Arabidopsis thaliana: one gene and its partners. The protein of the gene in region 2 interacts with the protein of the main gene of each other region in a pairwise test. Each region holds a gene or a part of one and is shown on either strand. Other genes may lie near its edges.

What was found.
Region 1: the proteins of TCP10 (region 2) and AFO interact in binary tests that used the Arabidopsis thaliana proteins (3 or more experiments, as listed by UniProt).
Region 3: the proteins of TCP10 (region 2) and ERF4 interact in binary tests that used the Arabidopsis thaliana proteins (3 or more experiments, as listed by UniProt).
Region 4: the proteins of TCP10 (region 2) and HEC3 interact in binary tests that used the Arabidopsis thaliana proteins (3 or more experiments, as listed by UniProt).

Annotation. Positions count from the first base shown.
Region 1 is NC_003071.7:18,624,769-18,633,969, reverse strand, and holds AFO (Plant-specific transcription factor YABBY family protein), read left to right. Parts: upstream 1-3,190; 5' UTR 3,191-3,417; coding exon 3,418-3,531; intron 3,532-3,541; exon of another isoform or gene 3,542-3,652; coding exon 3,653-3,814; intron 3,815-3,908; coding exon 3,909-4,041; intron 4,042-4,616; coding exon 4,617-4,665; intron 4,666-4,755; coding exon 4,756-4,831; intron 4,832-5,249; coding exon 5,250-5,327; intron 5,328-5,442; coding exon 5,443-5,520; 3' UTR 5,521-5,718; downstream 5,719-9,201. Other genes in the region: AT2G45180 (Bifunctional inhibitor/lipid-transfer protein/seed storage 2S albumin superfamily protein), read right to left, coding at 7,189-7,593; ATG8E (AUTOPHAGY 8E), read right to left, coding at 8,444-8,663, 8,763-8,815.
Region 2 is NC_003071.7:13,217,461-13,226,227, forward strand, and holds TCP10 (TCP domain protein 10), read right to left. Parts: upstream 5,150-8,767; 5' UTR 4,610-5,149; coding exon 3,524-4,609; 3' UTR 3,518-3,523; intron 3,403-3,517; 3' UTR 3,018-3,402; downstream 1-3,017. Other genes in the region: EMB2785 (elongation factor family protein), read right to left, coding at 94-244, 439-513, 746-1,084. UniProt on the Arabidopsis thaliana protein: Plays a pivotal role in the control of morphogenesis of shoot organs by negatively regulating the expression of boundary-specific genes such as CUC genes, probably through the induction of miRNA (e.g. miR164). Participates in ovule development.
Region 3 is NC_003074.8:5,117,314-5,125,216, reverse strand, and holds ERF4 (ethylene responsive element binding factor 4), read right to left. Parts: upstream 3,796-7,903; 5' UTR 3,746-3,795; coding exon 3,077-3,745; 3' UTR 2,655-3,076; downstream 1-2,654. Other genes in the region: AT3G15200 (Tetratricopeptide repeat (TPR)-like superfamily protein), read left to right, coding at 6,157-7,728; PRPS20 (chloroplast 30S ribosomal protein S20), read right to left, coding at 7,805-7,903.
Region 4 is NC_003076.8:3,023,451-3,030,861, reverse strand, and holds HEC3 (basic helix-loop-helix (bHLH) DNA-binding superfamily protein), read left to right. Parts: upstream 1-3,747; 5' UTR 3,748-3,786; coding exon 3,787-4,461; 3' UTR 4,462-4,753; downstream 4,754-7,411. Other genes in the region: HAM2 (histone acetyltransferase of the MYST family 2), read left to right, coding at 6,151-6,457, 6,803-6,891, 6,994-7,053, 7,138-7,347. UniProt on the Arabidopsis thaliana protein: Required for the female reproductive tract development and fertility.

The DNA of each region.
Region 1 (9,201 bases), 5.4 Mb from region 2:
GCAAGTTAATTAGTTACTTTTTTCGAAAAGTAAAAAACTGAAAGAATTATTTCATAATCATGCATATATATGAGAAGTGGAGAGTATGAATTATTGCTTCAATTAAATTGTAAGTACTTTCTCATTAGATGTACAAATAGATTGGGGGTTTATGGCAAAAGCTTTTCTAAACCAATCAGAAGAGAAAAGAATAGGGAAATGTCAATGTCACGCCTATGATCTCAGAACACACATACATGCATGTATATAAACATTTAAATTTCCAATACATGTGTGTACTATCTCTGCATTCCCATCGCCCAAATTGCGACAAAAGTGTGGGCTAACCCTAACATTATATACGTTTCTAGTAAAGTATGATCAGACCAACATTTTCAACGTTTCCTTCCTTATAACCAAAAATTATGCACGCCTTAATACTCAAAACTTCCGCCTTTTATATTTGCATCTTTGGTCGACCTTTTACCGATATAACCACCTTTTTTTCTTTGTCAAACACTTATATGACCACTTAAATGTTATTAATTGTGAGGCAATAAATAGTAGCTGATTGCAATATTTCGGAGCTTGATTCTTCATATGTTAAGTTATGCTGAATTTACAAAATAATGTGTTTTTTTCGGTAACCGAATGTTAGGGATTGCACAACCATATGAATAATTGCTTGTGAGATTACGAAATATTAACTAACTTAACCACTTAAATGTTGTTTGGGGGCAGGAAATACTAGTAGCAATAACACGATTGATTTTGCATTACATAATCTAATTCTATGATTCTTCGGATCGATTAGTAACAAATACTAATTAATATTGATATACAAGCTAAGGAGTTATTTTCAATTGGTGGGACAAAACATATATGATATATGCATTGCATCATTTTCGCAAGTAGGTGCATAGATATTTTCTTAGACATCTATACTTGAAATGAGAATGGAATATTATATAAAATCATATGTAGGTTTGAAATTAATTACGTGTGGAGTTTTGCTCGTGGCTTTCACCAATATGGTGTTCCTATATATACGTACATATTCATGGCGCTTTTAAAACTATCATTGAGAAACACTACATTAGTATATTGGCTGTTTCCCTTGTATAATTCTTAGTTAAAAAGAGTTTTCTTATCCAGCAAAAGCAATACAAACTAAAAATAAAATTGTAATCTAGAAAATAGCTAGGAAGATAAATCATATAGTTTCCTTATCCTAATCAATGAAATTCGGATACACATTTGAGAGCGTGCGTAAATTATTAAGTGATAAATGCCAAATATTTTAAAACAACAAAATAACGATTTAAGTTAAACGGAAATATAAAACTAGTATATTGATAAGCAGCCGGTTAACTCGGAAATTTTAACTACAAAAATAGAATTAATTTACTTTCGCTTTCATGGAAAGTCTAGACTTGGATGATTCCAAATATTCAAATGGAGGGGGAAAAAACAATCATATAATTGACTAAAAAGCTAATGATAACCAATCAATAAAAATGGAGCATCATGTTTATCTCTACATATACATACATGATACAAACAAACAAAACAAAGTATGTTTCAATTGAAATTAAATACTAATAATTAAAAAAAAAATTAAAAAAATAGGAAAGGAATTGTATAGAGAAACGAGAAAAAGTAATGGCAGTGGTAATTAAGGAATGACAACAACGGGTGAATGAGGCGACGCTTAATCACTCCCATGCACACGTCCCTTTCTTCCCCCCACCTCTGCCGCCCTCTCTCTCTCCTCTCTTCTCTTCCTCCATTGGGAACTGCGAATTCTATTGTCAAAGCTTTAAAACTTTTTTCACTTAAATTTTTTTTCAAGAGCTTCGTCGTTTCTTAACTTACTTGCAAACACATTACATGTGTCATCACGTGCAACCCCAACCCCAAAGCCTAAGCTCGCGAATCTTCTAATGTATGCCTCAATCTTCCCTTGTTCATACTAGTACTACAATATCTTCTTCCTAAGATTTCAAAATTGATCATGAAGTGGTTTGTAGTTTAGTGGTCATCGCTATATTGATCCAATCTCATATTTTTGTCGAAAGTTTTGTATAGTAGCTATAAATTTGATTCTTTAGTTAGAATTTCTTGTTCTATTTATATAGAAACATAAATGCCTATAGCTATTTTCATATATTAACATGTGCTTTTAATTGTATAGACCAAAATTTAATTGATTGCAAAATTAGGTTTGTAATTGTTTGAGATCAGATAGAAAAAGGTCCATCTTTAAGCGATAATATCCTCAAAACTATTTTGTCATCAGTCTTGTCTCCTTGTGACCACAAGGTCATCTTAGAGGTACAACGGTATAGATGCTTAATGTCTACGTTTTCTAGTAAGGGTGAGACCGCATGGTCAACCGAATTTCTAATATAGGCATTATCAAAAAGAAATCTTATATTGGATGTTGACAACAAAGATTTAATAATAACTCGCATCATTTGACTAATTAAAAATTAAAAAAGATCTAAGTGAGATGTATATTTTTATCAAAAAAAAAGAAGTGATATTTGTAAAGAAATTGTCCAATTCTTTTGTCAATTAATATTATGTTCAAAGTAATTTAACATTTGTTTAATATCTGGATCCACTTGTCAAGATTATGCATTTTGTGATAAATAAAAACAAAGAGTGCGGTATAGTGGTGGTACAATTCAATTGTTATGTGGCAATACAATTTATAAGAATATACGGAAAAGGTATAAAAAAAACTGTTTGTGAAAAAAATGAACTGCTTATTCAAATGGTGTTTAGGGTGTAGTTCCGAAACTTATTAAAAAAACTAATGTATGTTTATTTTATCGATCATAAATTTTATTCGGCCACTTGATTTAATGAAAAATTATATAAATAGTTATTGTCTTATTAAACACCGGCATATTTATTTTTATTTGGTTTGTGTTATCTGTTCTACACCATCCAAACTTATTCCATTTATGTTGCTGGTTCACTACCGCTGACTCTGTTATACTATTCAAAACCTAAAATTGTATATAACCCATTGGAGAATTTCTTTAAAGAATATATGTATCGCTGAATTGAAATGTATAATACACCACATTATATATATACACACAGTATTACCGAATTAATTAACGAAATTAATAGTAGACGACCTAGAGGCTACAATTAGAGCATTTGTTGTTTAATTTTTACCCTCTAATATATTAATATCCCCTTTCCCTTCTCACTCCTTTCACCTCTTCTCTCTCTATATATCTTCCTTTGTGGTATATAATACACAGCAACCCAACAATCAAGAAGATCAGATCATGGTGGGGTTTTTTATTTTCTCCTTATCAAGAATCCTCTGATCAGTCAAATACCCATCAATCAATCAAATCCCCAAACACTCCCAAAAAAAGATCAGCTTCCAATATTTTTCCCCTTCTTACAAAAAAGATGTCTATGTCGTCTATGTCCTCCCCTTCCTCAGCTGTTTGTTCACCGGACCACTTCTCTCCTTCCGACCATCTCTGCTATGTCCAATGCAACTTTTGCCAAACCATCCTTGCGGTACAAAATAACCTCTCTTCAATACTTTCTCTCTCATTTTTTCTCCTCCAACTTCTCATCTTCTTGATCTATACAAGATTAGGGGTTTTTTAAATTCATTGTTTCTTTTGTGTGCTTATAGGTTAATGTTCCTTACACAAGCTTGTTCAAGACCGTAACTGTCCGATGTGGTTGCTGTACCAATCTCCTTTCGGTGAACATGAGATCATATGTCCTCCCAGCTTCTAACCAGCTCCAGCTCCAGCTCGGTCCTCACTCTTACTTCAATCCCCAGGATATTCTGGTACTTAAACAAAATTCAAATACATAATCTTATAGGGTCTCATTTAGCTTATTGGAAGTAATCTCAAGCCTCAAGGATATAAATATTATTGTAGGAGGAGCTGAGAGATGCACCGTCTAACATGAATATGATGATGATGAATCAACATCCTACTATGAATGACATACCATCTTTCATGGATCTTCATCAACAACATGAGATTCCTAAAGCACCACCCGTTAACCGCCGTAAGATACTAATTCTTCTCACTTTTATGATATTAACTTCTATGCTAACCGTGTTTATAATTTGGTTGTGATGATGAATCGCCATTAAGACATGCATAGCTTTTCTTATTTAACTTTCACTGGATCTCGTTCAAACCCTAGCACCATTGAATTAAGTCTAGAAGGAGATTTTTTACCTTTCTTTTCTTTGTATACTAGAAGGAGACATGAGAGATTATGATTTTGTATATTTAAAATATTCATTGATCCATGAACTTTAGTATGTGTTGATTGTCTACATATCCTAGATGGCTTTTAGCGTTGGTAAACATTAAAATAGTGACGATAAAAGAAACGGGGAGATAGATTCATGGATCCCCCGGAAATCTAGCTAAAGAGAAAAAATCTATGTAATATGTTAGAAGATGGGCTTGTCTTTAAAAAAACATGATGAAGTGATGATGGGTTAGAGAGAGAAAGTATTTGTGTGAGAGAGAAAAAAGACAATGAAAGTAGTTTTAATGAGTGTTTGTCTCTTTCTGTCTGAGTTTTTGTTTTTTCGCTTTGTCTTTGCCGTTGAATTTCGCCATTGCCAGCTCCAGAGAAAAGACAGAGAGTCCCATCCGCATATAACCGATTCATCAAGTGAGTCTCTTATTTAATTTTTACAATCATTCATATTCTAACCATAACTGTGTAACATTAATATAATTCCTTGTCACGTTTTTATTTTAGGGAGGAGATCCAACGTATCAAAGCTGGTAATCCTGATATAAGCCACAGAGAAGCCTTTAGTGCTGCTGCCAAGAATGTAAGAACCTTATTTCTCACATCCCAAAAATTTATATTAAACTGTTATCCATTGGTTGAATCAAATTTTAATAATCAAAAGAGTCCTTGATAATCCATATTTATCTCTAGTTCAATAAAAAAATTATTTTTTTAAACGCTGAAAATTCTAGTTAGAAGTGATGCGTTTTAAGTATTCTTTGTTTTCCTTTACTAAAGAATTTAAGCCATTGATACTACTAACATCACAACTTGGTTTAGATTGCCGGCAGAAACTAGGGTTTGATTTTATCTATGCGTATAGTTGCTCTTGTATTAGTTGTATATATATTAAACAGTCATATATGTAGGTATAGCTGAAATTAGGAGTAAAGAATTTTGTCGGGTTATAACACAAGTTGATATGTGTCTTGTACGTATGTTGTTTATGTGTAATGCAGTGGGCCCACTTCCCCCACATACACTTCGGGCTCGTGCCAGACAATCAACCCGTGAAGAAAACCAACATGCCCCAACAGGTAAACCCTAATCTGTCGACATACCTTACATCTTTAATGCATATACTTTTATGTAATATCATATATACAAATATAATTTCAATTGATTTGGATCATATCTTAAACATGTGTGTAGGAGGGAGAGGATAACATGGTGATGAAAGAAGGGTTCTACGCTCCTGCAGCTGCTAACGTTGGTGTGACTCCTTATTAAAGAGATAAATATAATCGACTAAGTATTTGAGGAATTGAAATCCAATTTCTTAGGGTTTATCATGTCCAAAAGTTGTGGTTTCTTTTCCTTTCTTGAACTTATTTATATATATTATAAATATGCATGTGTCTTTTTCTGTTGTTGTAATCAAAAATCTTGCTAATTAATGGGGTTTCTTAAGTTAATTTTCATTTGTAGTTGTATAATTAATTAACTTATCAAAATGTTTTCTTATTATTACTGAAAGCCGAATTTGAAATTTAAATAATCAGACTTTTTTAATAGATTTTTACACCATCGCCATATGTAAAAGAAACTCAAAGGAAATTACAACCACCAATTAATCCAAAGCTTTTTTTCCTCCAGAATGAATATATCACAAAAATTTAACCGAAGAGAAAACAAGAGGGGAATGATCATATTACATTTCAAAATTCAAACTAAACTAAGAATGGAAATATGCACAAGCATTTGCTTCCCGAAAACATGTAAAACGATGTGATTCTGTTCAAATTTCTCCATTCAAAATCTGATTCTTGAGATTGTTGCATATGGTTCAATCTTATTGCTCCCATTAATGGTTTTATAATAGTGATATGGTATAATTAAATAAGAACTGGGGCATGCATCAAACGACAATTGTTGTCAAAATAGAGGGAAATTAAAAGTTAAGATAAATTTATTTCGTAAGATCAAAAATTCAGTGATAGCAATAAGCTAATCTAAAAGTGTATATCAGACTTAAATTTAACTCGTCTTTTTTTCTTTTGGTGCAATATAGAGCGGTGGATATAAGTAGCAAATCAAACAAAAATGACATTAGGATATGAGCAAGCATGATAAATAACAAAAAAAAAACGTTTTGGGTCAAGTGACTATATGTTATCAGGCCTACTAGAATTCGGCCCATTAATATTAATGACGAGTTTCCTTAGCAATCAGTGGGCCTGGTATACAATAATGCGATGATAATAAAATGATTTAAATCCTTCTTTTTTTTTTCTTTTTTTTTTTGGACTAAAAAATGATTTAAATCCTTAGCACCGGATCCCAACGGAAATTGCTTCTCAGAATAGTTTTCTTCAGTCTCCGACTATATTTATTTCATTTTCCGATCATCGTACTATACACTCCCCAACATCGAGTAAACAAGCTTAGTTGTCAATTTACGAGTTCCAAAAGAAGAATCCAACAAAACGCAGTGTTTCGTTACTTCTAGACCCATCTAATTTCTACGTGTTGTATGCAACAATGACGGCTTTACCCTTTCGCTTTCTAATGTGGTCCATGTTGTTCTGGACTTATAGGTCCATATGGGCCTATGTTGGGTTGGATAATAATTAACCAATAAGAGACCACGTAGAGACCCTCTAAACCAAATAGAGGCGTTGAAGCATGAGCACGAATAGAAGAGCGTTATGATTGAATGTCATTTATGGACGAGAGGAGAAATACTAAGAACATAAAATCCATTAACAAGCTCAAGCATTACATCAAACTCAATATTGAGAGAACAAAGGTTCTATCATGAACAAGCTCAAGCATTACATCAAACTCAACAGTGACAGAACAAAGCTTTTTCTCACAAAAACAATAGATAACAGTAGAAACAAACATATAAAAACATAGCAAACCAAAGAGATTTTTCTCTTTTAAAGTCTCAAATCTTCAAGAACATTGGAAACCATGAGGAACTTTCTTGCCACAATAGTTCAACAGCAAGGTTAGATCAATAGGAACATTGAGATTAATCCCCAAGACATTGGCTTTAAGAGCGGTGCAGAGACAAACCGCAGCTTCAAGATTAGCAAGACCTTGAAGAAGTGTACAACAAGGAGTCTTTGGTGGAGAACCAACAACAACGTTAACTAGGCCCAATAAGTCTGCGCAAACACCAAGCTTAAGTGTGTCGGTAGGACAAGTGGGTTTCACGGCAGGAGCCTTCTTAGGCGATTTCGGGGTTTTTGGGGGTTTAGGAGTAGTTGGTGGACATTTTGTGGAGGTTACAAAGGTGAAGAAAAGAAGATTAAGTGTAATAAGAAGAGCTGTAACTGCAAGAGCCTTAGAAGCCATTGTAACGTTTTGTAATGTTTTGGGATGAATGTGAAGGAGAGATATAGGACATGGTTTATATAGAACAAGTTATTACTAATTACATATACCGAGAGATAAAATAGCATGTGAGCGACTTAAGAAAATTAGAGTAAGAAACAAAACTATCCAGCTAGTTGGCTTTTGCAACTTGAGGTCTTGAAATTGATTAGACTATTTTTTAGGAATTGTTAATTTATTTTTCTATCACAGAAAGGGAAAAGACAAGATTTTTGTCTTGTTTGTTTGTGAAAGAAGAGGCTCCACAAACTTTGAGACAGAGTGTCTCTCTGGGTGGTATGCATCAGTTTGATCATAGTTGTGTAGATCCATTATACGTTGTTGATAAGATATTGTTTTACATTGCATTAGTCCCCATTCCTTTAGATTTTTTTATGAATGATAGATCTTTCAGCATCAACCGATTATATTTCCAAATGCAACTGGACAAGATAATCCCAAAAACAAAATTCAAAGAGTCTACATCTCATCATTACTCGTTTCCAATATTTGGTTTGGTCTAGTTTATCCAAATTTGTAAGATACCTTCTAGAGTGGTCCGTTTAGTATCCAAGAAAGAATTCATGTAGTAGCATCATCAAATGATACCAGTCTAATGAATGAAATCTTTGAGGGAGAAAGAAAGCCACACAAACTTATAATACCAAAGGAAGATAATATTATAAGATTAGTCTATGTACATTTTAACAAGTGAAAAGAAGATAGTAATCACAATTATTTGAGAAATGATAAATATTGAGAACAAACTATACACACAAATTGAAAGTTGGGAAGAAGCATTAAAACGTGGCGGATTCTCAGAGGTCAGAGATTAGATTGAAGAAGCACCGAATGTGTTCTCGCCACTGTAAGTGATGTAAAGGAAGCCATCTTCGTCTTTCTTATCCTCGTAAACGCTTGACATTAGCTCTCCTGTTGGAGGAAGAACATTGTCTACGAAAATGAAGATAGCTTTCTCTGCACTTAGTTTGATTCTCTTCCGAATCACATACACAAATTGACCAACTGTTAGGTCTGATGGCACAAGGTACCTGCATTTATCAAAATCCAGAACAATTCCAAAATTACATACAAGTCTTGAAAACATTGAACAAATAACAAGTTTAACATGATCAACAAAAGGTACTTACTTCTTCTTGTCTATATTTGGGACTTCACTTTTCTCAGCCTTTTCCACAATCACCTGCAACCAAACTACAATGTAAGATAATCTGAATCTTGTAGAAAAAACAAACAGTATTGGATTCTCAAACAACGAAGCTAATGTTCTGTAACCTAAACTAAATTTCACCACGAAGATTCATGATATTGTTTGTGAAACCGAATTCAGCATACATTGATAAATACGCAAACACAGGTACAAAAACATAAGAAAACCTTACAAGAACAGAACAGAACTGATCAAATTAACAAAAACAACACAAAGACAGATGCATCCCAAACTAAACTATTAAATTACATACACAGACTCATGCTACATCATAAATTGAAAGACACGCAAAACAGAGATCTATTACCATAAGAAAACCTTACAAGACCAGAACAAAATCAGATAAAAATCAAAACAAA
Region 2 (8,767 bases):
ATAAACGAAGCAAGAAAAAAAAGGATGAGAAACTAAACAAATTAAACAAGACCAACAAGTTTTACTAAGAAAGGGAGTGAATGCAATGCATACCTGAAGGTCGATCTACCTTGTTTAAGAGAAGGATTGGGCGTAGTCCATACTTCAAGGCTTTGGCAAGAACAAACTTAGTCTGTGCAAGAGGGCCTTCTCCAGCATCAACAACTAATATAGCTCCTTCAACCATACCAACGACTCGTTCAACCTATAATTCAAATACACAAAATAGTCACAAAGATAGCACCTATGTTCTACAGTAAGGAGTATCCTAATGTCAACAGACCATGAGTAGGTATTGAGAACTTCTAATTAATTTATCTTTTGTCCACTAATATGCATTTCTACTAAAAACGAGCATGAGAATCAAATAATACGCTAAAAGTAAGATCAGTATCATACCTCACCACCAAAATCTGCGTGACCAGGTGTGTCTACCATGTTAAGTTCGTTGTCCTTCCAAAATATTGATGTCACCTGTCGGAAAATTTGACATAAACTTTAAATGTCGTGTAACGTGGTGATAAATAACAAAATCTCAGGGAATCGGTAAAAGAACACATCAAGTTACAGACATAACAGAACAAACTGAGAAAAAAAAAAGAACAGAACATAAATATGCTTTGATAGAGTCTCAGAATCATTTTCAAACAGAACCATTTTCAAAATTGTGAAGTAACAATTAACTCTAATTCCAATCCAAACATACGAAAGGCGATACCTTTGAAGAAATAGTGATCCCTCGTTCACGCTCAAGATTAATAGAATCCATAGCACGCTCGTGAGGGATATCAGCACCACACTGACGAAGAAGCCTGTCCATAAGTGTTGTCTTCCCGTGATCGACATGAGCTATCACAGCCACGTTTCTTAGTCGATTAGGGTCAAGCGAGCTATTAGGAGCTCCGGCTGCAGCTGTGGAAGCGGTGGCTGCTGAAAAGGAGCGTAAGGAGGAGAGCGAGTATCCGAATTTGGAAGGTGATGAATGAGAAGAGAAGGATCTTCGAGTGGTGTTTGACCAAAGAGATCGAAGCAAAGGCCCCGCCATCTTTGTTCACGCGAAATGGTCTCTGATAGGGTTTTAGATCTAATCTCTGGTGACGATGACCAAAGGGTTTTTGGTCTAAAACTGTTTGGAATTTATTTGATCGTTATTTACAAAATAGGACATTATCACTTGTAGAATCTTATATTTTCCCTATACTTTTCAATTGCTTATATTACTCCCACAGTCCTATTTGATTATACAACCATGGCTTTTATAGTTTTATGTAGAAATTAAAACCTCTCATTATGTGATATTCGGTTTTTCCATTAATAATAGAAGTGATTCCGATAAGTTGATACATATAGCGAAGATGAACTGAGAATTTGACTCAGCTTATATGGATGAAGTGGTTTACATATTGTTATGTAATATTTGTAGGACGAAAAGGAGAATTCATGATAGATTTTTGCAAACTTTATAAATCTATTTATGATCTATCCACAAATGTTCTTAGAACTCTTTATTATTTTTTATTTGAGATTTGATAATATTTAATGTTGATCATATATATTGTATTATGGTAAAGTTTTGTTGGTATTTTGGTTTATGTGGATGATACCATATGATATTTTGGTTCTTTTTTGTAATTGACAATTCGGCTATTTAATTACTTCCAACTCAAGGATCTTGGTCATCTTCGGTACTTATCTATTTTGGAAATTGTTAGATAAAAAAAAAACCATTATGTTTGTCAACGCAAGTTACATCTTCGAGATGTTGTCTGATAATGTTTCTTTTGGTGGTAAACAAGGTCAATTCTCATATGCACCAAGGGACATATAGTTCATAAGATTGTTTGTTTCTTAAAGGAAGCATTGGACAAAGCTTGTTTTTACTTTGCTGCTCTAGACCTATATATTTGAGGTTTCACTGCTTATGACTAGGCAAGTTATCCACAATTTCGTATGTACTATGTATCTTGGATTTTATGTTCAATGAAAATTCATCCATTTCATTGTCTATCAAAGCTAAATACAAAGTTATGGCTCTTGGAATTTGTGAACATGTTTGGATTGCCTATATTATGTAAATATATATTTTGGTTTTATATTATGTAAATATATAAAGCATGCTTCTTATGCTCTCTCTGTGTACTCTACAGTGACAACACTTTAGCTCTTCATATTGCTCGGAATCTTATTTTCACGAAAAAAACTAAACACAGAGACATATATTTTCATATTGTTTGGCGTATCCGATATAGTTTTATGAAGGGTGTTTGATTTTGATTGTACCGGTTTGCTCTACCGCATTCCTGTCTGTTGGTTTAGGTTTGTTGGGTTACACTTACATATAGTACAATCCTTTTGTAACAAAACTGTAGATGGAAGTTGTAATCCTTTTGTTGAACTCTTCTAATAATCCAAGCACAATCCATAATCAAAAGGCCAAAGTAGTCATTCTCGCAGTAGATGACTTTTAAAAGTACGAACATTCTGTAGCTTTTAACGTCTTGTATAAAAATGATGATCATCGTTGGGAAAAATATTAATGATCATCATGTGACAACAAAGTACAAACTCCTTTAACCTAAATATATTATCATGTATTTCATCAAACCAAATATATGTACATATATATATACTATATGTAAAAGTGCCAAAAAGTGATAAATGTCATTCTCTATATAGCCCGCCTATCTATATGACTAAAACAATTATTTCAAGATGAATTATAGAAAAATCTTCTGTCAAACCCAATTAGACCAAGTAAAGCAGACTAAACTATCGAGATCCTTTGGTATCACTGTCACAAAGCATTGAATACTCAATAGCAACTTTTTCATAAAAATCCCAAATTTGTAATAAATTTGACTTTTCTATTAAATAGTCGCAACTTTTTAGCAAGCTAAGCTATATTACAAAAGAAAATTGGTATCTGCACAGATGATAATGAACACCTTTTTCTTCATTACTCATGTAATACGACCTATGCTTTTAACGTTCTTCAATTACTCTTTACTTAACCGAAGAAATAGAAACCGCAAGTAAAAACCAGAAAATTCAAACTCACTCGTAGAACAAAAATATGAGATTACAATATCCCAGCCTAACGCCAGTACTAAACCAAAACACACATAAAACCCATCTTTTCAAATATCACAATCTTGATGATCAATGCAAAGATGATAAGAAACAAACAAGCAAAATTGAATAATAATAACAAACACTAAATGAGTAATAATAGTCTTGAATCATAAATATATGGATAGATGGTAATACTAATTAATATAGCGCTTACTCTAGCTCCATTCATCACATTAATTTCCTCCTTCTTGTTCAATGCATGTCATCATGAATTTGAACCTCCATGGTTGTCTGAAAGAAATACATGTGGTAATTTAATTATGAAAGATTTAATTATTGTCTGGTTTCTTGATTAATAACCTATTATACTTAAAATATATAAATACATTAAAAAGAAGAAGCAAACCTTAGTTTAGAGGTGTGAGTTTGGAGGAGAAGAAGAAGAGTTTGGTTGAGTAGCTTCTTCTCCGTGGAGTAGTCTTGTAGTGTTGGGGAAACTAAGGCCTTGCATCATCATCATCCCATGAGAACCATACTGTGATGATGAAGCAAACATCGAAGAAGCTTGATTCTGATGATGATGATGATCCGACGTCGTTTGATGATGATCCCAAGAACGAAACGAATGAGGGAATAAACTGGACTGAAGGGTACCCCTTTGTTGTTGTTGTTGTTGGCCACCAAGAAACACTTGTTGTTGCTGACTATTAAGCAATGTCATCATCGACGGTTGATGATGATGATGGTGAGGATGATGATTCACCATGAAACCACCATTACTCCTTTCTTCTTGTTCTTGTTGTTGATGTTCTGATGAGGATGATGACGTCATAGTTAAGTCGTGATGATTCCATCCAGAGATTCTCCCGAACGTGTCGAAATGAGTCGTGGTGAAATTGTTGGTCTCGGGAACTACGACTGTGTTGTTGTTCCCTTGAAATGGGTGAAGAGAGAGACCAAGATCTTGGCTAAGGTTTGGTGGTGGTGTTGTTGTTCTTGAGACCATGTTGTTGTCATCCTGATGAGGGTAGTTTTGGAAATTGATGTTTGTACCACCACCACCGTTTGTTGTTGTCGTCGCCGGGAAAAACGTTTTCATTGCGTCTTCAGGATCAAGATTGGCCGCCACGAACTGCGTTTGGTCATTGTTCTCTCTTTGGAAAACCAAAGTGGGAGATTCCGGTTTAGTATTCACCGGTTCTTGACGAGTAGTAGTAGTAGTAGTCTCCCCGAGTTCAAGCTTATCAATAGCGGTTTTGGCTTTCTTGATGAGCCAATCAACGGCTTTGCTAGGCCGGTCATAACCTAACCGGTCTTGCACATCGTAGAATTGAATCGCCGTGTGAGCTGAGAGTCTCACGCGCCGGTCACGTGGACCCTTTGATGTGAACACTTTGCTATGACGGTCTTTGCGTCCAGTGGCTCGGATTATGTGACCGCCTTGAACCTCAACTATCTCTCCTCCTCCTTCTCCGACGCTATATCCTTTAAGTCCCATTATTTTTTTACCTTTCAAAATGACATTCCAAGAGTTGTTTTAACTTGGAAGAAAAACTTGCGTGCCGTTTTTGTTGCCCACTTGCTTTGTTTACCTCTTCAAAATGCTTGCCGTTTTGTTGTTATTGTGGTGTTTGGTGTGTAGTGAGTTAATAACATCTGATGCAGGCTGGACACAGCTACCTGAAAGCTGCTACAAGAAGCAACTCTTCTATGCAGATCCCCAAAAGATCTGCCATGGCAGTCACAAGATTCAATGACCCAACATACCCAAATCAAAAAAGGGAAAAAATGAAGAAATATTTAGAAGAAAAGAGATTGGAATCTTTAGTCTAGGGTTTTCCCAAAGAGATGAGAATTTGGACAACAAAATTGATATTAAAAATAAAAGAGCGAGAGAGAGAGAGAGAGAGAGAGAGAGATGCTACTTTAATATATTGATATGTTTAGTTGGTCTAAAATCGAAGGACAAGAAGAAGAAGAGGAAAAAAAAGAGAGAGAGTATACTATTAGATTGTTGGTGGAAAGGATAGCAGAAGTTAAGGGTTCAGAATAGGAAAGTAAACTAAATAAATACCCTTTTGCTTTCAACCTTTTGTTCCTTATTATAAGATTCCTATTTCACATATCAACATGTGTCCTTGTTAAGTTCTTAGCCACATATTTGTTTATTTCAAATTTTTTTGTTACAGAAAAATTCCTCAATCATTATTCTTCAATCATGCGTGCCATATCGAATTCTTGAAACATACATAACTATATATATCATATAATAAGGAATATAGGAAAATTGAAAAACATCAATAAATGAACATATATCATATCTTAGTTACACCAATTTGTAATATTTTGTTTGGTTAATGTCAAATCCTCCTTCACTAATTAATTAAAACTTGAAAAGCATATGTTTCACACAACATACACACACATTGGTCGGCTTAGGATTACATGCTAATCAAAGTCGACAATGGAATAATTTGACTCTAGTATGATTTTTTTTTTTGGTAAGCTGAGGGGTGGCAATTGCCTACCCCAATTTATTAAGAACAAACTACAAAAAATTACAATAAAACAGCTCGAGGGAACTCTGTTCCATTAACATCTGCGAGCAAAAGTAAACGGACTCCCTCTGGGCATGCATCAAAACAATGAAGCCCTAGCGGCAAGGTAAAGGCATAGTTTGCTAACCCGTCAGCGAGACGGTTAGCTTCCCTATACACGTGTGACACACGGACTAACCAGTCCCTCGTAAAGAAGCCTTGGCACAACCGTACCAGGAAGGACAGCGGATGAGCGTTGCTTACCCCTGTGCTTAAAAAACCCACCACCAACTTGCAATCCAAGTCTAACTCCACTCGTCGAAACCCCTTGTCCCACGCAATGAGCAGCCCATAGTAGGCGCCCCATAACTCGGCTAATGGCGCTGCACAAGATCCAATGTTTAGTGCAAAACCACCTAGCCACTCCCCCTGCCCATTCCGGATGGCCCCTCCTGCCGCAGCCAGCCCGTGATTCCCACGGGACGCTCCATCCGTGGTAATTTTCACCCACCCATCGCTTGGAACCTGCCACCTGATCATTCTTTCCACCCGCACACCATTAGGCCGGTTACCAACAGCACCAACATGTACTCTCCTCACCTCCTCCGCCATGTCTTTGATGAACTTCAGCCTGTCCCGACAAATCTTTCGTTCCCCAAACACATCACAACACCTCCACTTCCAAGCCCACCAAATTCCCATACCAAAAAGAGTAGGCCAAATCCCCTTTACTGGATCCATATTTGTAAATAACCACTCCAATAAAGACTGGCTAAAAAACTCATGATGTCGTCTCAGTGGCAGCAACCGACGCCAAATCGGTTCCATAGCGGGGCAGTCACGCAACACATGGAGTATTGTTTCCTCGGCTCCATTACACACCGAACATATAGCATTCTCACTCAAATGGCGCCGGACTCTCTCCACATTAGTCATGATCACATTCTGGCTCACCAACCAAATAAACACCCGTACTCTCTCAGGCGTGATCAGCTTCCAGATTCTGTTAAAGAAGCTCCCCATATTCGGCCTGTCTCCAACGTCACCTTGTAGGAGGGAATACGCAGAGCGGACTGTGAAGGCCCCATCCTGTGTACCCTTCCATGATATCTCGTCTCCATTACCCAGAAAAACCTGAACCACAACCGAGAGCAACCGCCTCTTAACTGTCTCTGGCAGATACAAACCCAGAATTTCCAGGTTCCAACCTGATCCCGGCAACCAATAATCGGCTGCCACCTTTATTCTCTCCCCCTCCGGTATCATATCAGTCCCAAGCTCCACCAACGGCTCCTGCAACAGCCAGCGATCCAACCAGAACCTTATTGTGCACCCATCTCCAGGCACCCATCCAACGCCCTTAACCACCACTTCCCGGAGCCCTACTGCCACACTTCTCCACGTGGAGGACCATCTTGGTTGTGGTTTCAGCCAGCTAGTATCTTGTACTCCACCCACTTTGTACTTTTTGCGAACAACCCGTGCCCATAAGCTCTCTTTATCTTGAAGCAGACGCCACCCCACCTTGGCTACCAAGGCCTTATTCATATCACGAGCAGACCGTAATCCGATCCCTCCCTCAGCTTTCGGCTTACATATCTTACGCCAAGATAGCAAGTGTTGTTTTTTCTTCTCCATAGTACTCCCCCAAAGAAAAGTTCTGGAGTATCTATCCAAAGTATCAAGCGTAGAGACCGGTAAAAGAATCGCACTCATTACATGAACCGGGATAGAAGACAGAACCGCTTTTGTCAGAGTGATTCTCCCTGCCAAGCTCAAAGATCGGCCCTTCCAACCCGCCAACCGAGCTGAAACTCTTTCCAACACTTCTCCAAACGTCTCCTTATTCATTCGTTTCTGTAAGATTGGCATACCCAAATACTTCCCCAGCTCTTTAGTGCAACCAATCCCACTCTCTTCACTTATCAATTGCTCCATTTCTCTACTCACATTGTGAGAAAAAAATATTTTCGACTTCTCTAGGCTGACTTTCTGTCCCGAGGCCTCACAGAACCGTTCCAACACCCGACGAATGATCCTAATTTGCGCTACCGAAGCTTCTGCAAAGAGAATCAAGTCATCTGCGAAGCAGACATGTGACAACTTCGACCCCCCACATGACACTGCTATCGGTTTCCATTCTCTCTTTCCAACTGACGCCTCTATCAAATGACACAGTCTCTCCAAACAGAGTACAAACAAATACGGCGACAACGGATCCCCTTGTCTCAATCCCCTAGCCGGTACAAAAGAGTCTGTTCTCTCACCATTCCACAGTACACTCATTGAAGGGTCTGTAACTCCTGCCATTATTCTGCTTGTCCAACCCTCAGACAGTCCAGCAGCTTCTAACGTTTCCTGAAGAAAATCCCATCTAACACGGTCATAGGCCTTTTCAAGGTCCAGCTTGAGTAACATCCAGCCTTTCCGCCCCTTCTTCCTCCTCATAGAGTGGACTGCCTCTTGTACTAACACAATGTTATCAATGCTCAAACGCCCAGGGATGAAACTCGCTTGGGCCGGCCCAATTAGCTTAGAGATGACATTCTTCAACCGGGTCACCATCATTTTCGTAATTATTTTGAATAAAACATTACATAAGCTCACCGGTCTAAACTGCTGAATGCGTTCCGGCTTGGCCACTTTAGCTATTAACACAAGCAGAGCATCATTCGTGGAAGCTGGTAAAACCCCTGTCTCGAAGAATTCCAACACAAATCTCGTCACTGAGGGTCCCACTGTCTCCCAACACTGTTGGTAGAAGACTGGTTGATAGCCGTCGGGTCCTGGTGCCTTAAACCGTCCCATACTCTTCACCGCACTAACCACTTCAGCCTTCGTAAAAGCTTGGAGCAACGCTGCCTTCTCCGCCTCTGATATGGATGCAAAGCCACCAGTTGGCAACATATTTCGGACTTCACTAACATCTTCCAACGAGTACAGCCGCTTATAATATGTTAAAGCCATAGCTTCCAGCTCCACCTTATCCGTCACCCACCTATCATCATCTCCTTTTAATGACTCAATCCTATTCCTCCTTCTGCGGATAATTGTTGAGGTGTGAAAGAAAGTTGTATTTCGATCACCCAACTCAATGTATTTCTCCCGTGACTTCTGAA
Region 3 (7,903 bases), on a different chromosome or scaffold from region 2:
GATTGATAAATGTTACTAATCATTATTTATAGTTAAAAGAAAATTCGATTGAAAACTGATCTAATACAAAAACCATCTTATTGAATTTGTTTATGCGTGTTGTACTCGAGTAATAAATTTACTCAAGGAGAAAAATATCTTCTCCAATTAATGAAATGCCGGTGAATGATGTTACTTTTGAAACTAATATTGAAGCGGTGCGTAATGGATCTGTAGTTAATTTCCTGTGAGCTTTTAATGCAGTGTGCCATAAAAATGGATGATTGGGATACTTTTGTTGAGATTAATAAATGATAGGGTTCTCTATGTAAAAGACCAAAAGAAATGAGATAAATAAGCAATATAGATACATTATGTAGCCGACTTCGAATCGGGTGAGAAGAAAAAGGAGGGAAAAAATCTGGTTGGTTGGGATTGAGATTCTGGATGACCTTAGTATGAAGCGTGTGGGTTCCACCAAGAAAAAGCGGCCGCCGCAGCTAATCTTGTTTCACACGTGTCTCTCAGTATTTTATTTTTGGTTAAGATTTAAAATGAATTATTATTCCCACTCGAATATTATAATGCTAATATATTTTTAATTAAGATGTGATCCTGATATCCATATCTGCAACTAACCTGTATTTTATTAATTCTACACATGACCCATCATCCATGTGTATAATTAGTATGCCTATTTCTCTGCATATTCTTCTTCTTTTTATTTTTTTTAATGTAAAAATTAATCTTATTGTCTAAAGTTTCTGGTATTGAAAAATTGTGGGAGGTGGGGTTTCTTTGGGACAAGATGATGAGATGAGGGGCCAAAATGAAATTACCTCAATTTACGGAGTCCTTCACGTAAACAAATAAGGCTAGTAAATATATAATAAATCAATGAAATGAAAAGAAAGACAGTGAGAATCAAACTTTATCGGACGGTGGAGATGCACGTGAAGACAACCCAATATCCCGACATAAACCTCGTCAACACGGAATTTACATCCCATGCCACTTTCACACGCGCCATATGCTCAACCACACACATCTTCTGTAAAAATTCCGGTTTTCACTTAAGAAATATGTTAACAGAGTCAATCGAACCGGATTTTTAAGGCATATTAGGTCAATTATAATTGGTGGACTTCTACTTGGATAACTACCAATAGGAAAAGTAAATATTAATTTTTTTATTTTAAGTGATTTTATCTTCATGAACTGTTACGGGCATACAATGTTTTCCTCTGCAAAATTGTCTCTCTTTTAAAAACAGGAGTTTAACTTATCAAATTAACTTCTAAAATATACCTCAACTATTCTGTCTGAGTGAAATTATTTGAATACGATAAAAGATGCGTAAAAACATTCTTTATTTCTAGATATATATATATATTTGTAAACATAATTTACTCGCTATAAATACTCTCTTTGAGAGGACAAAGACTTTGAAATAATACTACTAAAAAGTCTTATTCTCATAAATATATTATTAAAAAAAATGGGAATGTGGGCGCCACCGTCTCTGATTCGGTCTCTTCTGAAAAGGATGATGATGACTCGCGCTGCTTGGCCGTCGGTGCCGCTTCACTCTTTTTTTTTTTTTGCGTAGTTAATAAACATGAAAGTGTATGATCCAGACACGTGGATAAGAATAGAATCTAGCCGTTGGATCTACACGAGAATCACGAAAGGATAGTTATTGACTCTTTCTGATTGCGGAGTTGGAGACAAGAATCCAATCAAAAACCTCTCTTCTCTGCCTCTCATTATGAAGCCGCTTTCTATTTCACACCCTCTTATACGTCGTCGTTTTCTTTCAAACTTTTAACATCATTGTTTTGTACCTATATTTACATTTTCAACACATCACGCCATCATTCAATAAAAAATTTCGCAAGTTAAATTTACTTTCCGCACAAATTTAAAACAACGAAATAAAATTCAAAAAGACCAGCCATCTAGAAATAATTGGCCAAAAGAATATCTATAAATAACACTATTGTTAGCTTAACGGGTCAAATGATGTTGGTTTAGTCCAATTCAACTCCGAATCAATTCAATGTCATAGTTTAAAGAAAATTAATTTTGCACTATAAGCTATATATTCTAAAAGCTTTCAGATAAAAAAAACCAATATCTAGACTAGTCATAGTTGTTTCTTTAGAGACTTTGTGTACTCTTTTTCCATTTTTTGCCGACAAAAATTTGTTTACGAAACTAGAGATCTTTCTTAAAAAAAATTGAACAAAATCTTATCTTTGTTTTGTGGCAGTTTCTTTTCCAAATTTAAGAATCTATCAAATTAAAAATCTAGGTTCTCTCTGTCAGACCTAAAGAGTGTTAACTCTCAGCTTCAAGACTCTTCCAAGTTAGCTAGAAAGAAAAGAAATGAGTATGTCCGTACTCTGTGAGTGGACCCTACTACTAAGTGACGTAAGCGCAAAGAATTTTCTAACTTACGCCGCAGAGAGCAAAACGAGGGCCCACACACGCCGGCTGCGTGTCTGCTGGAAACTTGGACCATTGTTAAAAGCCGACGATACTCAACTACCATTTTATTAATCTCACTTTGAATTTTAGTTTTTCTTATACTTCAACTTACAATTATTTTGTTTTGTCAAATAAGTAATTTTAGTCCCTTCAATTTTTTTAATTTGGTGGTAACGATAGAAAAGGAAAGCCAATAGAAGGAGCCGCCACAACCCACAAGTAGTAATAATCAAAATTTCGGAAATTGGATTGGACAAGATAATTCTGAAGATTACCAAATTATTGATTGAAAATTTGGAAGAACAAAAAAAAAAAAAGTAGTAAAAAAAATAGAGAAACAACATGGGGTGAAACCAAGTCGCAAAAAATTAAAAGCACACAACAAAAGTTCAGATCTCCGGTTATGTAATAATATGTACATAACGATCCATGTCAGCTAAAATTATATTTTTCTCTCTCAGATTTAATCTGTTTTTTCTTTCTAAAAACTGGTAATAAATTTAGACTGAGAGAGAGAGAGAGGAAAAACTATGAGAAAACGAATTTTCACAGCTCAAAAAGAAGAAGAAACGCATGCGCTTCGAATTGAAACGACACCGTTAAAAGCTCAGGCCTGTTCCGATGGAGGAGGCAAATTAAGATCTAGATCTAACAGCTGAGATCTCTTCTCCATCCCACCTTCGAAATCAACGACCGATGACGAATCAGAGTCGCTTTGGGCACCACAAGCCATCTTCGTCGCAACATGCACCACCGGCGATCTAAACGCCGATGTCACAGGAGGAGGCTGACCACGACCTACGTTACCGATCCCCATCAGGTCCAAAAAGTAGACAGGACGCGACATCGGGATCTGATAACACGAGCCGCCGCCTCCTCCGCCGAGACTAAGCTCGAGCTGCGGGGGAACATTCCCAGCCGTCGCTGAAGGCACAACTAACGTCGGAGGAGAAGCACAGTCGAGCGTGCTGCTCTGGCTAGGGCTACGCGCGAAACCGGTAGGGACCTTCTGGTCACTCAGCTCGAGAAAAGTTGGGAAATTGGTCTTAGCCTTAGCACCACGAAAATCACGCGCCGCCGTATCGTAAGCACGCGCCGCCTCTTCAGCCGTATCGAAAGTGCCAAGCCAGACGCGGGTTTTCTTGCCCGGATCTCGGATCTCGGCGGCATAACGGCCCCAAGGACGCTTCCTAACGCCTCTGTAACGAATCTCCTTGGCATTATTGTGGGTCTGGTTAGTAGTAGCCGGGTCGGGTTTCAAGCCCATCTTGGCCATTCTCGGATAGATAGATTAGAGAGAGAGTGGTGGTGTGATAGATAATTGAAGGGAGAAGAGGAAAGGAGAGAGTTGTTTATATATAGGATGGGAGAGAGAGTAAAAGCGACGCTCCTTTTGGGGCGCTTTGTTGTGAACAGTCAAAGCCTGAAATGGTTTTAGCGGCTTCTCTTACAAAACACCAGCGGTTTTCATGGTTTTCTTTTTTACCTCCACTTATCTTTTGCCACGTGTTTTTCTTTCCTCTTTCAAAGAATTTTGTTTTTCTTATCAACCCTTCATTTCTTTTTTAACCTCACCAAGCGTTTTCAATTTTTGTTGATCATCTTATTAATGAATTTATTGATGTATTTAAAAAGTTGAATACATTGTCAAAAATATAGATACAAATTAAATACATTAATTTGATTGACTTTAATTTTAAAATAAAACTTTTTATCACTGGATCTTTAATTTAATTATTAATATTTGGCAATGAGAAAATTAATTGGACTATGTAATCTTTGCATTAAAGTTCTTAATGAAATAAGGATAAATTTTGAAATATAGATCTTACTATGATACATATTTAATCAATCCGTATTTTGAATGATTTATTTTGTGGTGGAAAATATTGGATGCAAAGTCTTTTTTTTTTTTTTTTGTGTAAACTATTTTATCTAAAAAGTGAAATTCATTTGTTATCTGTATGTACAATGTACTAACAAACTTTTGATACAATTTGTAACAAAAAAACTAAAGAAATCCGTACAGTATTTGACGCATTTAATGGAGATGCATGTTGTTTGCTGTTTTGTCTACACAGCGTATTCCCTTGAATGCTGGTGATAAGATTTTGATTTTCATAACCGAGGGAATTAAGAATGTAATCCCACATCTTAATTTAATATATATAGTTAATCTAACTACGAATTGTCATGTGCCATTTACCCTCATGATTTAGGATATAACTACACAAGCTTGCTCTAGTGAGTACACTTGTAATGAACTCAGTTTGTTTTCTCATAACCTGTTGGATCAACCTTAATGCTTGCATAATTGAGAAAAAAACTTGAACAAATATGTGAGTAACTAATTTTTCAGATCATATCAATTTTGTTTTCGTATCTCAAAACTTTTGGTTTAAAAAATACCCAATTTTTTGTAAGACCAATAAACAACTAAAGATACTGTTATGTGTGTAAAAATTTGAAAATACAGGTAAATAAAGTCATACTATATGGCAGTGTGAGTTAAAGACAAGAGTAACTTCAAAAACTAGGAAATAAGTTAAGCAGCGGCGCCTGAAAAGAAGAGAGAAGAAGAAACCAAAGAACAGTATTGGATGACGCAAAAATGTAAAATACGTGGCAACACCTTGAGGACGCGCGGCTTGGGAACCGCGTTTCCATGTACGAGCGTGAATCTCACCGCCAAACACGTGCCGACGGCGATCGCGTGAAAGAAAGAGCGTTATGCGTGACTTCGTAGACTCAGCTCCAAATTCAACTTGGAGTTTGACTGCTTTTTCTTTCGCGGAATAAAACTAAAATAAAAACAAAAGGCTATTTAGCCGCCCCTCCGCCAAAGAAAAACAAAGATGGCCCACAACGCACTCGCTATTTAAATAAAATAGAAAGAGTTTTAAAGATGTATAGTGCCACGTGGTCAACGCGACGCGTGGAGAATGGATGAAGAGAGAGAGAGAATGGTGGCCGCGTCGGCTAACCGAGAGAGATTCTAACGGCGGTGGGCCCGCCGTTTGTTTTGTTCTTTGTTTCCTAAAAGACGGACGGTAATTACATTCTGACGGCAGAACAAGACGTGTGATTAATAGATTAGTTTTAATAAATTTTATGTAATTTGGTTGTTAATTGGCTCTTTTTTAATTGGTCTTTGTTTATTCTTTTACGACAGCTACATATGTCTTCACGCCATGGATAATGGATTGGGTTTCTTGGGCCACAGAATCAGCTGGATATCAGAAAATAAAAAGATTCATTTATTTAAATATATTATCTTTACGTTTCATTAAGAAGATACTACTGTTTAATTTTCTTAAACATGATTATAGACTTAAGCTAGCTTCACTTTTATGCTGTCTCTATATTCAAAACCTCTGTTTGTTTGTAAGCAAAACTTTCGGTACCAAACAATATCACTTCAATCGAAATAAATTCTTTATTCAATAAAAATTATTTTTTTTGTCCGAAACGAATGAAATTTCATATACTAAAATTTGTTATCATTCGTATTTTAATAGCAATCACTAACAAATAATGCTGTTCTTAAACAAATAATGATCATTCAACCTTACTAAAAAAATCCGGTTTAATTCATTTTTGGTAAAAAGATATGTATTTTTCATTGCAATTTTTGTTGTTGTATATGTAACGTTTTGCTTCGGAAGATCTTTAGAGAGTTTAGTGAAGATGGGAGGGAAAAACAAAATTGAAATCTTGTTTCAGCTACAAAGTGCTCTATCGCGGCGCCGGATCTCATCATTGGTCGATTTTCGCCGTGTTTTTCCTCCCGAGACACCGAATCATAAGAACAATATCACTCTCTCCAGGTTCCACTTTCTGGGTACACACTTTCTTCATTCTCTTGGAGCTCCCGACAAATTTCCAAATAGATTCAACGACGACAAAGACAAGCAATCTGCTCTTGATGTTCATAACATCATAAAGCATCACCGTGGAAGTTCACCTGAAAAGATTAAGCGGATTCTCGATAAGTGCGGGATAGACTTAACCGAAGAGCTTGTTTTAGAAGTGGTTAATCGGAATCGATCTGATTGGAAACCAGCTTATATACTTTCTCAATTGGTCGTTAAACAATCTGTTCATCTATCTAGCTCGATGTTGTATAACGAGATTCTCGATGTTCTTGGGAAAATGCGGCGATTTGAAGAGTTTCACCAAGTGTTCGACGAAATGTCTAAGAGAGATGGATTTGTTAACGAGAAGACGTACGAAGTTTTGTTAAACCGTTACGCTGCTGCACATAAAGTTGATGAAGCTGTAGGAGTCTTTGAGAGGAGGAAAGAGTTTGGGATAGATGATGATCTGGTTGCGTTTCATGGGCTTTTGATGTGGTTGTGTAGGTATAAGCATGTTGAATTTGCGGAAACTTTGTTTTGCTCTCGTAGAAGAGAGTTTGGTTGCGATATAAAAGCGATGAATATGATTCTCAACGGGTGGTGTGTATTAGGAAATGTTCATGAAGCTAAGAGGTTTTGGAAAGATATCATTGCTTCTAAATGCAGGCCAGATGTTGTTAGCTATGGGACAATGATAAATGCATTGACGAAGAAGGGGAAATTGGGAAAGGCTATGGAATTATACAGAGCAATGTGGGACACCAGAAGAAACCCGGATGTTAAAATCTGCAATAACGTTATTGATGCTTTGTGTTTCAAGAAGAGAATCCCTGAGGCTCTTGAAGTATTCAGGGAGATTAGTGAGAAAGGTCCCGACCCGAATGTTGTGACGTATAACTCACTTTTGAAGCATCTCTGCAAGATAAGGAGAACTGAGAAAGTTTGGGAGCTAGTGGAAGAGATGGAACTTAAAGGTGGTAGTTGTTCGCCTAACGATGTGACATTCAGTTACTTGCTCAAGTATTCGCAGAGATCGAAGGATGTTGACATAGTTTTGGAAAGGATGGCAAAGAACAAGTGTGAAATGACAAGCGATTTGTACAATTTGATGTTTAGGTTATATGTGCAATGGGACAAGGAAGAGAAAGTGAGAGAGATATGGAGTGAGATGGAGAGAAGTGGATTAGGACCAGATCAGAGAACATATACTATTAGGATTCATGGTCTGCACACAAAGGGGAAAATTGGAGAAGCATTGAGTTACTTTCAAGAGATGATGTCAAAAGGAATGGTACCAGAGCCAAGAACTGAGATGTTACTGAACCAGAACAAGACCAAGCCAAGAGTAGAAGACAAAATGCTTAGATCGAACTTAACAAGCGAAGAGTCTGAAAGCGACTAAATGTACATTATAAAGAAACAGATTTTGATTTTGAAAGATCTAGTAACAAAAACAAATTTCCGTTATCCCCATGTTCTTATGCAGCCATGGGCACAGCTTCTGATGGTGCTGCAGCAGCTGCGTCTGGGACGTACCAACCATGGTGAATTTCAACGGCTTTTTTCCTCCTAGCCAA
Region 4 (7,411 bases), on a different chromosome or scaffold from region 2:
TCGGCTCTCACCCGAGAGACCCGGGTTCGAGTCCCGGCAACGGAGATTTATTTTTACTAATTACAGACAAAATTTACCCAATCCTAGCAGGGAACATGACTGATGTTCCAACTAATTACAGGTTTTTGGTTATATATATGTTTTATTCTGTCCCAATTCTTATACTCTTTGGATTTCAAAAATGTTCGGTTTTACTAGGACTTGTACTGTAATTTAAGACGAGTGGGATCACATGCCTCTAAGTAAAATGTGTTAAATTAATTTAATCTAGTAAAAAAAATCATCTGAAATTGGCTAAATTGTTCTTTACTTGAAAAAAAAAAAAAACTGTTCTTTCACTGTCCCCACTCACGATGATTCAATTACCCTGCATGCTCATAAACCTGAGCTAAGGAATTCCTTTTTATAGAAAAATGCTTATCGTCGAACAAAATGTTGATCAGTGGATGTTGGAAAAAAAAGAATGTTCATTAGTGGATATATTAATCGTTGAATGTTAAAATATTCATCAAAACATATAATTGATTGAGTCTATTTGGTTTTTTGTTAAATGAGTCTACTGTCTACTTCTCGTGTATGTAGCTACAATACGGCATTATGCGTCTATGCATGGATACTGGAAATACGTTTGTACCTGCAATAATCCAAGAAAATGAAAACCCTCGAAGTCAATTTCATATGTGTAATATTCTTCCCCTCAAAAACAAAAGAGAAAGAAAAATAAAGTGAAAAACTCATTAAAGAGTTTTCCATAACACTAACACTTTCGGACCAAACAAGAGACTTCTTCACTTTTCTTCACTGCAGCTTCCCATGCCTTGTAATCACTTTTTTGTAGACTTTTTAGATCCTCTCGCGAAAGAGAAAAAATAAACATGTTTTTTTTTTTTGCTACTCCATTTTAAAAAACTTAGCATCATTACTAATATTATAACACATAATCTACCCTCGTAGTTATAGAAATCAATACAATAACGCATATATATCCTACCTTTTTCGTCTAGCTTTATTTTTCTTAACTTGATATATAGCCAATTTGAAATTTTATTTTTGGATGAATTAAGCCAAGTGGTGAACTGGTGATTACTTATACATTTTCTTTTTTGGTTTGATCATTTTTAATGACCAAACCTAACCGGTGAAATTGGAGTAAGATAAAGTGATATCACTAGATTACAAAGTGTTCAAATTTGGAAAGAAACAACACTGAGTTTTTCTTTGTTTGTTCTTCTCCATGGTGGAAGCAGAAAGAGGAAATCCAAAAAAGAAAGAAAAAGAGAAGTCGCTGTAAGAGACCAGACTCTGAGGAAATGAGGGTGTGGTTCTTTGGGAATCGTAACGCACAAAGACGGAAGATTGTATCGCTATTAATAAAAAGGAGGAAGAAGCACAATTGCTGAAAAAAATAGTTATATATGTATGGCCTATATATATATATAGTTATTTAATGCTTTTTTATGTACGCGATAATTTGGATGAAAATAATGGAGATTGTCAGATTTTATGATTCAATCTTCATCGGAAAATGTTGCATAGTTATTTCACCCACTCACGTGTATATGTACTATATACATTTACACTAGATTCATCTAGTTAGGGTTTACGGTTACACTTTATACACAGACGAAATGGGGGCCGCTTGAGCTGTCACATGTTTAAACCATATCATAATAGATAAGCTAGTGATAATTTGCTTAAAAGAAAACATGATTTAGTAAATCAATTGCATTCAATTTTTGTTTATTACAACTCGGTATACATTTCGAAACATATTATACAAGCTTTATAAACCATTATGATATTTCACATCACAGTTGCAGAAATGTACATACAACCAAAAAGGAAAAAGTAATAATAAAATACTATATGTATTCTAAATGAAATCATAGATTTAAGAAGTAAATTAAATTTATGTGTCTTATATATTCTATTATTTTACATGTTTTTGTGGAAATTTAGAAACTAGCTGTCCAAAATGAATCATTTAACTTTCACATGTATGAAAAATATTAATAGACTTAATTAAAAAACACTCTAAATTTATGATCAGGCAATAAAAAAATTGTTCATTGCTCCAATCCATCCGAATTTGTATTATATAAAATACATGGCAAAATAAAACTTCTTTTAACTAAACTATATTATATTATAAGTCTTGCTCATGACTGTTATATACTTTAATAATATGATCGAATGCTAGCTATTATATTAAATACACAGTTACTCTTTTAATTGCGGTTTTCATTTTAAACCGCTATAAATGCGAAAACTATATAGTGTATACTTATATCGAATCAAATTAATTTCCAAAACTTGTGTGTGTATAAGTAGATGTTCATACATGTAGTTGGCAGTTGGGTGGATTTAATAAGAATATAATATACAGTGAACAATGGATTAATACCAAAGAAGTAACCCTATAATGCATGATTGCAGCCTGCATGCGCAATTTGTATGATTATAATGCAGACCAAATCATAACATATGTGCAAAATATACGCTTATATCTCATATATGTACATATACATGTGTATTTATACATTGCTTTTGTGTTGAGGCATATGACATAAGAAACTTGTCACATTAAATCAGAACCGTCTGATTTTTGTATAAACGGATCGAAACAACGTATATAAATTTGCCTCTTTTGAAGTCTCATAAAATTTCGTGTATTTTACGGATTTGTGTTTGTTTTATACACTTGTATACAAGAACGTTGTTACGTAGATGTGAACTTTGTTAATAAAAAGCAGAAATTGCTTCATGGAAAATGATATATTCACCACCGTCTTATATAAACGAGTCACGACGATGATACACGTCTTTCTTATTAATGACAATCATGGATAACACCCAAATGTTGAAGAAGCTAAGGTGTCCCCATGCGAGTGATTTGATGTTTGTTATCCTTATAAACCTTTAATCACGTCGCAAGTTATAGAATAGCTTTGTGGAAAAAAGCAAGTTGATCATTTGTTTTATAATAATATATAACATTGCGAGTTTCACACACAATTTACATTCAATATTGGACTCCATCGAGGGGAGAGAGAAAATCACGACCGTTGATCGGGATAAGAGTATAGGATCAACAAAATGTGCTATTTCGTGAAGAGACAAGAGAATGAGAGAAAATTTATCAAGATTTCCTATTTTAGTGAATGGGTTTTGTGAAGAGAGAAGGAGATAATTAAAGGGATTGTAAATTGAGAAGTCAGAATAAGAGCACACAAGTGGTGACATCTTTTGTGAATCAAAGAGAAACTCATGTTCATATAAAGTAATTCACATTCTTATAGCTAGTGGTTATTAGTTTATTACTTTGGTGAAAGCCACTTTCTCGATATACCCTAAATTCAAGTCTCAATGTGGGAGAGGGAAACCCTAGCCAACTCAAAACTATCTCATTAGTCAACTGGAGCTGCTCATTAAAAAAAAAAAAAAAAAAGCGATTATGCCAACTATATGTATACAAAAGTGCTACAACGTTTATAAACATTTTCGGAGCATAAAAAAACTTCTTATTCAACTATATACAATTTAATCTTTTTCTTTGGTAACGACTAGTGACGTCCACTTATTGAAAAGATACATATAAATAAAATTATTCTTTATTTTTTCTCCGAACCAAAATCCTTAATTGCATCACCAACCTAACCCCTCATCATATGATCACCTTTCTTTTTTTCCTTTAATATATATATATGCTCACACACACACATATATATATACATATAAGCATCGCCTCAAGCATTAAAATTTTTACGAACCAAACAAACAAAAATTATGAATAATTATAATATGAACCCATCTCTCTTCCAAAATTACACTTGGAACAACATCATCAACAGCAGCAACAACAACAACAAGAATGATGATCATCATCATCAACATAATAATGATCCAATCGGTATGGCCATGGACCAGTACACACAGCTCCATATCTTCAATCCTTTCTCTTCTTCTCATTTCCCTCCTCTCTCTTCTTCCCTCACAACCACCACTCTTCTCTCCGGAGATCAAGAAGACGACGAAGACGAAGAAGAACCTCTAGAGGAACTCGGTGCTATGAAGGAAATGATGTACAAGATCGCAGCCATGCAATCGGTTGACATCGACCCAGCAACCGTCAAGAAACCCAAACGCCGTAACGTGAGGATCTCCGACGACCCTCAGAGTGTGGCGGCTAGACATCGCCGTGAGAGAATCAGTGAGAGGATCAGAATTCTTCAGAGACTCGTGCCAGGTGGCACTAAAATGGATACGGCTTCAATGCTCGATGAAGCTATACGCTATGTCAAGTTCTTGAAACGGCAGATCCGGCTACTCAATAATAATACCGGATATACTCCTCCGCCGCCGCAAGATCAAGCTTCTCAGGCGGTGACGACGTCATGGGTTTCACCGCCACCACCGCCAAGTTTCGGCCGTGGGGGAAGAGGAGTAGGAGAATTAATCTAGACAAGATGACATTTCCATTAGTAGTAACTAAATTATGCTATAATGTGTGAGTAATGGTGCAATTATGGAAAGTGTTTATATATAATAAAAATGGATACGAAATAAGGGTTTGTTAGGATATATAATATATTGTTGTTGACCGTGAAAAGGTTGTGGAATAATCATAACGGTTAGCTTGAGTTGTGTACCACCATATATTTAATATTATGTTATCATTTCGTATATAATAATAAGTTCTTGATTTGGAGTTTGGTTGTATACAAGTTTTGGCCGGGCATTTTTCGGGCATAAGAACCATGACGCCATCAAAGAACCCTATTTAAATAGTGTTATCATTACTGTGGACTTTTGTCTTTGTATACACACAACGCATATATTTGTGAAGTACTATATTTTAGAGCATATAATATGAATGTACTCTATTGCTTCATTTTCATCTTTTTACGTACATACCTCACTTTGAACGTTAATACCTATACATATTGAAAATCGTTTTGTTATGATTAGAATAAGCTTTAAGAATTCCTAAATTACAATAAGCTTTAGGGCTTTTTTTTTAATATATAGCTTCACAACTAGCAACGAAAAATCCAAAAAGAAAAAAGTTGTTATGAAAATAATATCCGTACGTTTAGTCTATTAGATTATACTTGTTAGTATCCGATTAAACATCACCTGAAAACTAAAAAGTCTAACAGACTAAACGTATCCGATTATACTTGTTGTAAAAATGTTAACGAAAAATGTTTAGCTATAGTAACGTTTAGCATAATGAAAATTACGACAATCATCCCATAAAATGATGTTTTGTAATATAAAGTAATCTCAAATTACAACAAACCGATAAGGTATACAGATACTCTACTCCAGAAAGAGAGTATATATCGAGACATATTATAAAGAGGATGGTGCAGAGAAAATGTACTTGCTCGTTTTGTCTTCGAATTAATGAATAGAAGTTCAACTAAAACAGTTGCAAGATCTCTTTTTACCTTCCCAATAATAAAAAGAAAACCTTTGACTACAAACAAGCATTAAACCACCAGAGCTTTGCTCCACACTTGTTGGTCAGAAAATCTCAGAAAAGTAGCAGAGAGGTTAATTCAAGGAAACCTATGCTCCTTGTTCACTTCACTCATGGATACTTCCGCTGACTTTTGTGTCTCCTCACATTCATAGGTTTTAATAAAGACACAATGAAATGTCAGTGAGATTCATGGAAACCTAGCTATATCCATTTTGCTAACGAAATCATTTAATATATTTTCTTTCTTTTTGCCACATAGTTATACATTCATTCACATCCTAGAGATAATTGCAAGAACTTAACGTCTAACCAAATTATTTAGCTCAAACAATGCATTAATAGTCACTAAATAGCCATGGGTATGATTCATATATTTTCAAATCTAATTCGTTTTACTACAGAAATATTTCAATGTGATTCGAGATAATTCTTACATGATCAAACAACTTTCTAATTTTATGAATAAACTGTGATCCCGGTGAAAATGTATGTACTTCACACCATTAAATATCAATATTTTTAACGGCCCATAAATATAGGCCCAATTATGTGAAAAGTTACTAATGGGCCTGATTTATTTCAAGTGTCCGTTTTTCTCTCTCTAGTTCTCTTACTCGTATGAGAAAGAAAGCCCACCCGGGAATCTCCGACCCGACCGAGAAATGGGATCGTCAGCGAATACAGAAACCAACGGCAACGCACCGCCACCGTCGTCGAATCAAAAGCCTCCGGCTACGAACGGCGTTGATGGGTCTCATCCTCCTCCTCCTCCTTTAACTCCTGATCAAGCTATTATAGAGTCGGATCCGTCGAAGAAGAGGAAAATGGGGATGCTTCCTCTAGAAGTGGGTACTCGTGTGATGTGTCGGTGGAGAGACGGGAAACACCATCCGGTGAAAGTAATTGAGCGCCGGCGGATACATAACGGCGGTCAAAATGATTACGAGTATTACGTTCATTACACTGAGTGTATGTCGTTTAATTCCTTATCAAGTTTTGATGTAGGGTTTTCAATTTTGGTTGATTCGTACTGTTGAGCTTCACAAAGGTGGAAATTTAGTCAAGGGTTTATAATGTAGGAAGAAAAAAGAGTTAAATTGCAAGACTTTATCAATTGGATCATTGGAATTGGCTTCAAGTTGTGTGAGATTTTTGAGAAGGAGATCAAATTCTGCATTATACTTTGCTTCTAAAGATTTTGAACCATTTATACTATTGTGATTAAGCTGAGTAATATGATGACAAAGTTGGTGATTTTGAAATCTTATGATCATCAATGTGTTTGATTTTGGTAATTTGTTTTCGAAACTGCAGTTAATAGGAGGCTGGATGAATGGACTCAGCTGGACCAACTGGACCTTGATTCAGTAGAGTGCGCTGTAGATGAAAAAGTGGAAGACAAGGTGCGTTCTCTAGTTTTGTATTGTTAGTTGCATAATGTGGATTTCATGAGTTTTCTCATATACGTTTAGCAATGAGCAGAGATTTATGTCTGTGGTTTCTAGGTAACAAGCTTGAAGATGACACGTCACCAGAAGAGGAAGATCGATGAGACACATATAGAGGTAATGAATGCCAATATAAGGCGGGTCCTGGAAACGTAAGGTTTGTGTTGATTCAGTATTCTGTGTTTCGAAATGTTTTTATAGGGTCATGAAGAGCTGGATGCAGCAAGTTTGCGTGAACATGAAGAGTTCACGAAAGTGAAGAACATATCAACAATTGAGCTTGGAAAATATGAGATTGAGACTTGGTACTTCTCCCCTTTTCCGCCAGAATACAATGACTGTGTGAAGCTCTTTTTTTGTGAGTTTTGCCTGAACTTCATGAAACGCAAAGAGCAGCTTCAAAGGCATATGGTGAGCAACTGTTTTTCTTTATCTTTGAAGTCTTATGATGCTTTTTAATTACATTTCCATTGCG